3 linked regions of the Ovis aries genome follow. The protein of the gene in region 1 purifies or fractionates together with the protein of each later gene. This does not show direct contact. Links are inferred from orthologs where the notes say so. Each region holds a gene or a part of one and is shown in the gene's direction. Other genes may lie near its edges. The genes, in order: PTPN3, VANGL2 and SHKBP1.

Evidence for each region.
Region 2: the proteins of PTPN3 (region 1) and VANGL2 purify together in Homo sapiens (affinity purification with mass spectrometry; 3 studies listed by BioGRID and IntAct, with this or other methods). This does not show direct contact. The link is inferred for Ovis aries from reciprocal best matches to the Homo sapiens genes PTPN3 and VANGL2.
Region 3: the proteins of PTPN3 (region 1) and SHKBP1 purify together in Homo sapiens (affinity purification with mass spectrometry; 4 studies listed by BioGRID and IntAct, with this or other methods). This does not show direct contact. The link is inferred for Ovis aries from reciprocal best matches to the Homo sapiens genes PTPN3 and SHKBP1.

Annotation. Positions count from the first base shown.
Region 1 is NC_056055.1:13,920,821-13,924,466, forward strand, and holds part of PTPN3 (tyrosine-protein phosphatase non-receptor type 3), read left to right. Parts: intron 1-147; coding exon 148-334; intron 335-506; coding exon 507-581; intron 582-1,861; coding exon 1,862-1,918; intron 1,919-2,983; coding exon 2,984-3,140; intron 3,141-3,646.
Region 2 is NC_056054.1:111,431,567-111,435,212, forward strand, and holds part of VANGL2 (vang-like protein 2), read left to right. Parts: intron 1-1,743; 5' UTR 1,744-1,933; coding exon 1,934-2,004; intron 2,005-2,142; coding exon 2,143-2,263; intron 2,264-3,646. UniProt on the Homo sapiens protein: Involved in the control of early morphogenesis and patterning of both axial midline structures and the development of neural plate. Plays a role in the regulation of planar cell polarity, particularly in the orientation of stereociliary bundles in the cochlea.
Region 3 is NC_056067.1:49,290,775-49,294,520, forward strand, and holds the start of SHKBP1 (SH3KBP1-binding protein 1), read left to right. Parts: upstream 1-1,395; 5' UTR 1,396-1,407; coding exon 1,408-1,493; intron 1,494-1,717; coding exon 1,718-1,771; intron 1,772-1,884; coding exon 1,885-1,930; intron 1,931-2,036; coding exon 2,037-2,110; intron 2,111-2,412; coding exon 2,413-2,471; intron 2,472-2,699; coding exon 2,700-2,780; intron 2,781-3,746. Other genes in the region: SPTBN4 (spectrin beta chain, non-erythrocytic 4), read left to right, coding at 1-123.

The DNA of each region.
Region 1 (3,646 bases):
AAGCCCTGGGCTTGACCTTCAGAGCCCCTGTAAGGTTCTAAGGATCAGTGACAGCCGTGAGATGCCAGGCTCTAACAGTCAGTATTGTGTGCTCTGATAAAATATTAATCCAGTTATTAAAATATCTCCTCCTCCCCCACGATGAAGGAGTATATCCGAGAACAGCCCAGCACAAAGCTGCCTGACCCAGAAGTCATCCAGTTCTGTGTCTCCATCTTCAAATGCTCCAGGCTCCTGCTTCCGGGATGGCGTCGATCAGCAGTTCCTAGAGGACTTCCACAGGGTGACCGAAGGGGGCTCCACCGAGGACTCCAGCCAGTACTACTGTGACAAGGTGGGGGGCGGGGCGGCTCAGGTGCTGTGGCCAAAGCAGGGCCAAGCCGGCCGGGCTTCCCGTGTGGGGCCGCCTCTTAGGCAGTTAAGTAGTTAGGACTCAAAGGAAATAGGTTATCACCAATCACTGGAGAAAGAAGTAACGTGATTGACGATTTTCTGACATTTCCCAGAACGATGGTGACGGCTACTTAGTCTTGATCCGCATCACGCCGGATGAAGATGGGAAATTTGGATTTAATCTAAAGGTACGTTGTGTGTAATTTATAAGGACGTGTGATGCTCTGAAGCACTCTTCAGATGACTTTTAAACTTCCATTACAAATGTGCCATAGACCTAAGGCTGTGTAGGAAAATTGGCTTGGCCTTCAGAATTGGGAGCTTTTCAGTGGGGCCATAGGAGTTGCCTCATACCAAGTGCCTACTCTACATACTTGTTTATATCCCCTAATTGAGGATATAAAGAGGATCGTTCATATCCCCATATTGAGTCCTTTTATTAAGTGGTGAAATTGGTATTTTGAAACATTTTATAGATGTACACTAAGGGGCTTCCCAGGTGGTGCTAGTGGTAAAGAATCCTCCTGCCAATGCAGGAGACCCAAGAGATGCAGGTTCGATTCCTGGGTCAGGAATCCCCTGGAGGAGGAAATGGCAACCCACTCCAGTACTCCTGCCTGGAGAATCCCATGCATAGAGGAGCCTGGTGAGCATCAGTCCATGGGGTTGCAAAGAGTTGGACACGACTGACTGAACACAGGCTCGGAGAGATGGGAACCCCTCAGCACTGCTAAGAGAGAGCAGGGATTCAGGTGCAGGGCCATAACCTCCTCTGTTTCCCTCTAGGCCGGCTCTGCACACTATGACCTATGGGCCCAATCCCATCTGTTCTTACAAATAAAGCTTTATTGGAACACAGACACCCCATTCATTTACAAATGGGTTATATCTCCTTTGACATTTCGATGGCAGAGGTGCTAGAGTGCCCTCTGTCCCATAAAGCCACAAAAAGTATTATCTGGCCCTTCACAGAAAAGGTTTATCAGCCTTAGAGCAGAGTGAGAGCAGGTGATCTTCGCTGCCCACCCTGCAACTGCCATCATACACTCCTTTCTGATAGCCCAGCAGCCCCGCTGACAGCCAGTTCTCAGAGGTCAAAAGCCCTCACAGTCTGAAACCTTTCCACAGCTCCTCCCCTCCACCGTAAACTCCTCTCCCAGCAGTGCTTATGGGCTGGGCTTTTAGAGTCTTTTTCCTGAGGATGTTTGCATTTTTTGAAAGGAGCCTGCTTCTTCCAAGTGCATCTTTAGTCCATGGATGGTGGGGATGGCAGTGGGAGGCTTCTGAGTGGTCTTCTGGTTGACCCACTAGACCCATAGCCTCTGGAACCTTATCATCCTAAAAGGTACCAACCCTTGGGAGTAGAATATATTTAAGTGAAAGTTGAGCCCTCCCTTTGTGTCAGAGATATCTGCATGTCTTTGGTGCTCGGAACAACTCAAGTGGTTTTTAATGTATATGTTTACAGGGAGGAGTGGATCAAAAGATGCCTCTTGTGGTGTCAAGAATAAACCCAGAGTCACCTGTAAGTAGACGTATTCTGTAATTTCCCAAGTCCGTTTTCCCATAAATGTAACAGATTTCTATTTCTGTGTCCTGTTTCTTTTTTACCGGCAGCATAGAGTGTGTGTCAATGCATGCATAGAGATAGGAAGAAAGAATTTTCCAGGGCCTTGCTGCCTAGTGTGGCCCCCAAGGCTGCAGCACCAGCATCCCTTGGGAAGCTTACTAGAAATGCAGATTCTCGTACCCCACCCCAGACCATCTGGACCAGAATCTGCATTTTTAACCAGATCCCCAGGTGATGGGGAGGCACATTAAAGTGTAGAAGTCCTGCTCACAAGAAGGCAACTGGGGCGTAGCGTTTGCTGTTCTACAAGCTCTAAGTGGGCTCGTGGGTCTTGTGCCTCTTCCCCCATCCCACCCCCACCCCACCCCATCCTCAGCCCTCTGCCTGGGCCTCTAAGCATCTAGGAGATGATTTTTTTTTAAGCATTGAGCACCAAAGAGTCCCTGTACCTCCTAAGAAAGGGGCCCATTTGGAGGTTTTACTCTTAAGAAGTCTTTAAGCTTGTGCTTTACTTTTTCTTACTGTTTATGGCCTCTATGAATTAAGAAGCCTATTGATCAGTTACATGGCTTCTTGTCCATAACGGTTCGTGCCTTGGGGGTTATGCTTGCAAAGGCTTTCTCCATCACAAGATAGCTATATACTTGCTTTTAGCTGACAAATCATTTTCTACCAAAACACCTAGAAAAACAGAAGATAGAGGTATTAGAGTCATTCTGACATTACAGTAATAAGTGAAGCTTGACTGCCATAGAGAAATGGCCTCAGTACTTTTTTTCACTTTATTCTGAAATGTTTTCATTCGTAATGTAGGTTCTGAGCAGCACTTCGTTAAAATCCCACCACTAGCCACCATGTCAACATAGCAGTGGCTGTAATAAAAATAAAGGCGGTAATGCCAGGGGGAGAAAAGCAGAACTTGGTCGCGGTCTCCAGTGTCCAGGCTCAGAAAGCATCAGGTTCTCCCCTTGAGGATTATGTTATGGTAACGAAAGAAACTCACTCTTCCCCTGCATGCAGGCAGACACCTGCATTCCTAAGCTGAACGAAGGGGATCAAATCGTGCTAATCAACGGCCGGGACATCTCAGAACACACCCATGACCAAGTGGTGATGTTCATCAAAGCCAGCCGGGAATCGCACACGCGGGAGCTGGCCCTGGTGATCAGGAGGAAAGGTAACAGCCCCTGAGGGAGAGGAGCCTTAGTGAAGAGGGCCTTCTCGGGCCCGCTCCTTGGTTTCGAGATGTTGTGCTCATAGCCAGCATCGGTAAATCAAGAGCTTTCCCCTGTTGGGAAACAACTGCTGGCTGACTTCTCACTTGAAAAATGTGGAGATTTGGCCCCACAGGGCCCCATCCCTCATGACCAGTCCTCTGCAGGTAGGCAGCACCCCTGCCCCCATTTTCAATACAAGACATGACATTCCTCTCCCCTGTTCCTCGCAGGTCCATCTCAGCCCCCTCCACGCACTCCTCTTAGCTTCCTGCCTCTGCCTTCATTTGCATTTTCAACCCTTTCTCAAAGGATCGGGTTATATTTCATTCATGTGCATTTGGTTTCGTTGGAGAGGCTTTAGCAGAATGGGGCCGGAGCCTGGCTGCCTCAAGGCTGTTCTAACTCTGCCTCCTCCTGGCTTCCAGGACCTTGAGCAGATTTCTTACCCAGTCTGTGTTTCAGTTTC
Region 2 (3,646 bases), on another chromosome or scaffold:
GCAGTCACCTCCTTCCTTGTCTCCCTGCTTCTGCCTTCCCTTCTTTCCAGTCTCTGTCTGGAGACCTAAAACCCTTCCCAGGCTTCCCACTGAATTAACCTAGCTCTTCCTGCAACCTGGGGCTTCCCCGGTGGCTCAGCAGTGAAGGATCCGCCTGCAGTGCAGGAGTCACAGGAGATGCGAGTTCGATCCCTGGATCGGGAAGATGCCCTGGAGAAGGGCATGGCAACCCACTCCAGTATTCTTGCCTGGAGACTTCCATGGACAGAGGAGCCTGGTGGACTGTGGTCCATGGGGTCGAAAAGAGTCTGACATGACTGAGCAACTTAGTATGCGTGCACTCTTTCCCTCACCCCTGGGGTTTGCAATGCCCCGACCCCTGGCCACCTCTTCAGCCTCACCTTCCATTGCCTCTCCCTCCCTCATACCCAGTTGGCTCCACTGGGCCACCCAACTCTCTGCTGCCTTTGGCCTTCCTGTGGGTGGCTGTCTGCTCTGCAGGCTTTCCCCTCCACTCTACCTGCTTAGACCCTGTGCTCCTTCAGGCTTGGTTGTTGTTTTCTCAGATTTTCCAGAACCACTCAGTTTAAAGGAGCCCTGCTCCCCAGACTTGTCTGTCATACTGTCCTTGTCCTTCTCCTTTCATCTCTGATGTAGTTAGTTGTTTCTATGCACCTGTTTACATGCACCAACCCTGCTGGGCTGTGAATCTGGGGTTTCTTCCCCACTGTGCTCAGGGCTTGGCAGGGGATATGGTTTCCTGATGGGGCCTAAGCAAGAGGTGACGACTCAGTGAGCAAAGGTGGGGAATAACTGCTCAGTGCCCAGGGATGTACCTTTGGGTGCTGGGAGTGAAGGGGGCTTTTGTGAAGGGCTCGGGGCTGGGTTGTGAGGTGGTAAACAGGGTTGGGTGAGAGTTAGGGAGGATGGGAGACGGAGAGGTCCTCTCCTCTGCTGAACCAGAAGGTGAAAGTGTGGAAGAAAGACACTGCCCCTAGGTCCACAGTGATCAGAGAAGCTCTTGACATTGCCTGGTTCAGGATGTCAGGTTTTTAGAGAATGGTTTCTGCTTACCTTCCCCGCCTGCCCCTCAGCACGTGATCTGTAGTTTACATTCTTCACCCTGGCCATGTGAGCACATTTGTGCACGCACACAAGTCAGGCCACTCACAGACACACACAGACACACACACACACAGCCTTAAGGGGAGCAGCCAGCTTAACCTTACAGTAACTGTGGGTATGTTTGACATACATGCCGGGGAGACAATGCCAAGAGAAGCAGCCATAGGCAGCCCCCTGTGGGCACTCAGGCATTAAGAATGGGAGGAGATGAGAGGCCTGGGGTAGCCTCTGGACTGAAGCTAGCTGCCTCCTGCTGCGGTCTACACTGGGCCAGCCAGCTGGCCTGGCCAGAACCCACGTTCTCCAGTGTTCCTGGCCGAGAATAGGAAAGTGCTGCCCAGCTCTTGCCTGCAGGGAGTCCAGAGTTGGGTCATTCTGGGAGGCCTTTGCTGTCATCTTCCCCCACCCCAGGGCACAGTCTGGGGCTGCTCTTTCTAGGAGGCAGGGCGGGAGGAACTGGGCCCACTGGACAGAGCAGGAGCCTGGGGGGCACATTCTCAGGTGGGAGCGAGGCTCCCCTGAGCTTCCTGCGGCTGCTTCCTGGGCACGGCCTCCCTCTCTGCTCTGACCCCACAGAGAGCTCCAGCCCCACCCCAACCAGCTGCTTCCTTTCCTCAGGAGCGCCGCTTGATTTTCTCTGAGACAAGCCCACCTGTCCAGCAAAATAGAGTCCCTCAGGGTGACGGTTGATTTCCTGAAGGTGCCCCTTGGCCTGAAGAAGCCGGTGCTGAAGGAGGTGGCAGGGGGGCCCCCCAGAAGGCCCCAGCCTGTGGCCCTGGAGCGCTACAAGGCGCGGCGTTCGGACGCCATGGACACCGAGTCCCAGTACTCGGGCTATTCCTACAAGTCTGGCCACTCCCGCAGCTCCCGCAAGCACAGGTGGGTGTGCATGAGAGCTGACGCAGGTGGGGGAGCGGGGTGGGAGCATCACAGGGCTGGCGGGCTGAAGCTGGCCGCTGAGAAGCACGGGTCCTCCCCTTGACCTTCCGTGCCCGTTCCCCTGGCCTTCTGCTGCAGGGACCGCCGGGACCGACACCGCTCTAAGAGCCGAGACGGGAGCCGGGGGGACAAGTCGGTGACGATCCAGGCTCCAGGGGAGCCCCTGCTGGACAATGAGTCCACGAGAGGGGATGAGCGGGTGAGCGTCAGGGGCTGAGGTCTGGACCAGGTGTTTCCACTCGGATCTCTGGAGAAGCTGGAGGTCCATCCAAAAGGGGAAGGGACTGGAAACCTGGCCTCTTTCGACAGAGAAAGGAGGGCATTTTGGGTCATACCCCTGTTAAGGGTTCCAAGGTAGGACTTCATCTTAGTAGAATTCTGTAGAATCTTGGTAGAATTCAGAGATCCCTTTGGAAGCAGCAGCCTCCTTCATCTTTTATGGCCCATGTGACCTGGGCTGTGTAATGGGAATTGCCTCTTCTCTGGGCTCATGCCAGCCAGTTAGGGGGCTGGGAGTGTGGAGTGGGAGGACGGTGGTGGGTGGGGGCTGGAGGTGTGGCAGCCCCAAGTTTCCCCTGGGCACTCTGGTGCCCTCTGGTGTCTGACTGTAGAATAGCACCTGCTGGTCAGAGGGAGGAGTTGATGGAGAAAGGGGAGGAAGTGAGCTTGGGGAGATGGGAGGGGGTTTTCGGCTGGTTGCTCCTGCTCTGGCCTCTCTGGCCCTCTGTGTGCCCCTGGCAGGGAGGGCAGGAGGCAGCACCCAGTGCTAGAAGAGGGAAGAGGCAGGATTTGGGATGACTGAGGTGGTCTATGTATCATTCCTCCTCCTTAGGAGCATCTTAGGGAGCTGGAGATCTCACGAGGCATGAGACTCTGGGGATTCCTGGGGCTTGGAAGCCCCAGGAAGTACCTAAGGGAAATGATCTTTCTCCCTCTTTCCCAATCCCGTCTTCTCCCAGAGACCTGGCCTCCTGAGTTCTTGAAGTGAGCCTGATCAGCTCTTCTGTTGGGGCGTGTGCCCAGGCTCTTGAAACTTGGAGCACACGTGTAGGTATAGTGGTTGTGGTTACTCACGGGTTTCCTGAGCTGAGAAGGCAGTGCCTCCACTTTCTGCCTTCCGTTCAGACTCCCCTTTCCTTGGGAAATGCCCATGTGGTGGGCATTCAGATGGGCCAGAAGAGTCAGCCAGGCAGACCAGCGACCCGGAGTGGCCCTGAGTCTGCACTGTGTCTCGCATGCCCTGCGCTAGTCTCTCACCTCCCCATCCCCTCTCGGTGTCCTCTCCTCTGCCCCATGCTGCCTTGGTCAGCTCATTCCCTTAACCAGATCCTCGAGTGGCCCTCCATGCTCCGAGGACAGGTACCTACTGCCTACCTGGCCTTGGACTTCCCAGGTAATGCTAGCGGTGAAGAACCCACCTGCCAATGCAGGAGATGTAAGAGACTCAGGTTTGATCCCTAGGTTGGGAAGATTCCCCGAAGGAGGGCATGGCAACCCATTCTAGTAATCTTGCCTGGAGAACCCCATGGACAGAGGAGCCTGATGGGCTACAGTCCATAGGGTCGCAAAGAGCTGGACACGG
Region 3 (3,746 bases), on another chromosome or scaffold:
TCGGTTGGTGAACACGCCGAAATCGCCCGCTGGGGCCAGACACAACCCACCACGTCGTCCACAGACGAGGGCAACCCCAAGCGGGAGGCAGGGGAGCGCAGGGCCAGCGGGCGCCGGAAGTGACTTCCCACCTTCTCGACCCTCCTCCCTGCACCGTGGGCACAAAGACACTTTCTCTTCCGCAGGGGCGGGAGCCCCTAGTCCCACCAACACTGAGGACGCGCCAAAACTGGCACTGGAAAGGAGGGGACTTCTCCTGCACCCCAAGAAGTGGTGGGGGGATTGCTGCCCCTATAGCCATATCTCGGCCCCTTCCCGCTCGCCACCCCCACCCCAGGTGCTGGGGCTCTATTATTTTTATGCAATAACTGAGCTTGGGGGGGGCGGGGGACGGGTAAGGGGCCAGCTGAGCCTAGCCCCCTGCCCCACGAAGCTGGGGTGGTAGGGGCGATAATTCCCGTCCCCCCCTCCGCCCTAGGGACGGGCATGGGGGCGCTGGTGAGGTCCCCTGGACCATCCAGGGTGCTAGGGGGTGGGGAGGGGACGCCCCCTCCCCGCCTTTACCTCACTTCCAATGCTGCCTTGATCTCTGTCTGGGAAGGAGGCGTGAAAGGGGCCCTAGCCTCCGCACTCCGCTGTCTCAGAGCCATGCGGTAATTCCTTAGTTTATTTTTGCAAAACGTCGACCTCCTCGTCCCCCGCCCCGCATCCGCGAAGGCTTTTAATGGGAGGGGCGTCAAAGCTCAAAACTGTCTTCCTCTCTCCTCCCCCCTCCAGTTGTAAATACGACGTCGTGAGGGGAGGGGCGAGGGGAAGCCCTCCCCCCTGCATGCTTCTGGCTGGAGCACCTCCCTGGGGAGCGGGGGAACTGGGTTGTGGGCAGCCCCCATGGCCACCTGGAGAAGCCGCTGGGGTCCAGGGGTGAGGAGAGGTGTGGCAGGCGCACACTCTATGTACCTATAATAAATCTTTTGGCTTTGACGGTCTATGCTTGTTTCTTCGCGTTTCATGGGCTGCGCCCAGGAGGATTGGGTGGAGCGACAGGAAGAAACTGTTTTACGGAGGACATTTAGATGTCCCTCTTGGTGTGGACTAGTTTCGAGGTCTAAACTCGTGTTCCCGATTAAGCACCTAGATGCCACTCCTAAATTGGGAATCCCAGAGGGATGAGGAACGGTCTGCTATCCGTGGTAACTAAACTTCCCCAAAGGAGCCGCTCGGTCCGCCCCGTCCAGGACAGGAAAGGCGGGACCCTTTAAGGAGGCGGAGAAGAGAATCGCGATGGGCGAGCGTTTTGCCCAATCGTCAGCTGCTCTGGGAGTCTGAAGCCCAATGAGCACGCGGTGGGGGCGGGGGCGGGATGCACACCCGGAAGCGGGTGCAGGCCGGCCGGCTAGCCGGGGGGCCATGGCGGCCGCGGCCCCTGCAGTCGACGGGGTCCCGGGTCGAGGGCCTCCCGGAGAGGTGATTCATCTGAATGTGGGAGGCAAGAGGTGAGTGTAAGAGTTTCTTGAGTCATTACTCTCGGGGCCGGGGACCCGGCTGGGAATACCCGCCTCTCCCGCGGGGGGAATTCTGTCCATCAAGGATTGCTCCGCCCCCTGCTGGAGGCGCGGGAACCTGGATGGATGCTGGGGGAGGGAGGGAAGCTTACCCGGTGCTGAGACTGGGGGCCGCATTCTTCATCGTCTCGCGTCCGCTCACCGTCCCCGCACAGATTCAGTACCTCTCGCCAGACTCTCACCTGGATCCCAGACTCCTTCTTCTCCAGGTGATTGGGGAAGCGAGTTTAGAGTTGGGGACGGGAGGGTTGGGTATGGGGAGACCTCATCTCCCCGTCACACACACTCCGGCCCGTGACACCTCTGCGTCCCCTCCCTGCAGTCTTCTGAGCGGACGCATCTCGACACTGAAAGATGAGACCGGAGCCGTGAGTAGAGCGAGAGCTGAAACGGGGCGGCTGGTAGGAGGAGGGACAGGAGCCCCACTCAGCCCCGCTCTTGACCCCATCTATTCTCTGCCTCCCTTCCCCGCAGATCTTCATTGACAGGGACCCCACCGTCTTCGCTCCCATCCTCAACTTCCTGCGCACCAAAGAGTTGGACCCTAGGTGGGCATAGAAGATAATGGGGAGTCCCCCACATCTTTACCCCTTGAGAAGTCTCTTCTTCCCCTCAGAATGTTCACTTAAGTTCTTTAGAATATCCCTCCCCAACACACACACACACACACACACACACACACACACACACACGTTTTCACCACCCAGATCATTTCTTCTTTAGAATCTTGATACCATCAACATTTGCTACCTCTTGAGATTCTCTGTGCAGTTTCAGAATCTTGGTCCTCAGAATTCTCTGCCCACTCCCACTCCCCAGACCCTGACACCTAGTCAATTCTACTACCCAGGGGTGTCCACGGTTCCAGTCTCCTCCATGAAGCCCAGTTCTATGGGCTGACTCCTCTGGGTAAGTGGGCCCACCCCCTTAGCATCCTTATAGAAAACTAGCCCTCTAATGATACCCTCTCTTTCTTCTCACTTCTGAAAGAAGGTGGGTTAGAGCTGAGGGCACTGGATTTGGTGTCCTGAGTCTCAGGGGAGTGGTGGTATTCTGTGGAGAAGGAGATAGGGGAGGGGAAAAGGTTCTGCCTCAGCCTTCTCCAAGTCCCAGCCTGTGTGAGTCCTTCTGCCTCAGTTCGTCGTCTGCAGCTTCTTGAAGAGTTGGATCGATCTTCTTGTGGAAACGTCCTCTTTACTGGTTACCTGCCTCCACCAGGTGGGAACTACTAAGGAATACAGGGTGGGAATGGAGGGTGGGGGGGTTAAAGACTACATTTCCCATAAGGCTGCAGCCCTTGCCTGCCTCAGCTGCGATCCCTGAGACACTATGGTAGTTGTAGTTCTACATCAGATGCTTTGACTAATGCTTGGTGAGGAAGTAGGAAACTGCATTTCCAGTGAGGCAATGGGCCAATCTAGTCCCCTTGAGGCTCAAGCTTGCCTTGGAGCCTGATGGAAGTTGTAGTCCAGTTTTGACTTCCTTGTAGAGAGTCTTAGGGAGAACTGGTGTCCTTTGCATGGAGGGGAGAAATATTAAAGGAGAGTTATTGACTGTAATCCCCAAGGAGCAGCCAGTCCACTGGTCATGAAAAATATGCCCCAGTGGTTACTGGGAACTATAGTCTACTATGCTTTGCTGATTGGTAGAAGGTACAGAGTTGGGGAGTTCAGTTTATGACTTTATTTCCCTAACTTCAGTCAGTACCTGTCACCTTCATGAAGTTTGCCAAGTATGAAGACCTACTGTTCTCTTAGTTTGTTCCTGTATTTTTTTATTATTATTTTAAATAGAAGCTTTATATCACTGCTTTTTATGCCATAAATAAGTGGATGTGAAATAATCCTTAAACATAACAGTGTAAGTAAACTCTGGGTAGATGCTGTTGCCTGCCAAGGGAACAGGCTTCCATTTCTTAAAAGGAAAGATTAACAAATATTGAAGGGGTATCATTATCATCGCAGCCCCAAACTGATTCTTTGTGATGGGCTCAAAGGACCTGATAAGGGAACAGCTCACTGTGATTCAGTGTCACTTAATGCCATGTCTCTGCACCACCAAAAATCTTTTCTCTAGGAGACGATGCTACCTGTGTGGGAAAATCAGTATCTGGCATGTTTTAAGTGTTTACTCTGTGACAGTTTTTACGGTTATTACAATGATGTTGCTCTGCCCCTTCTTTCT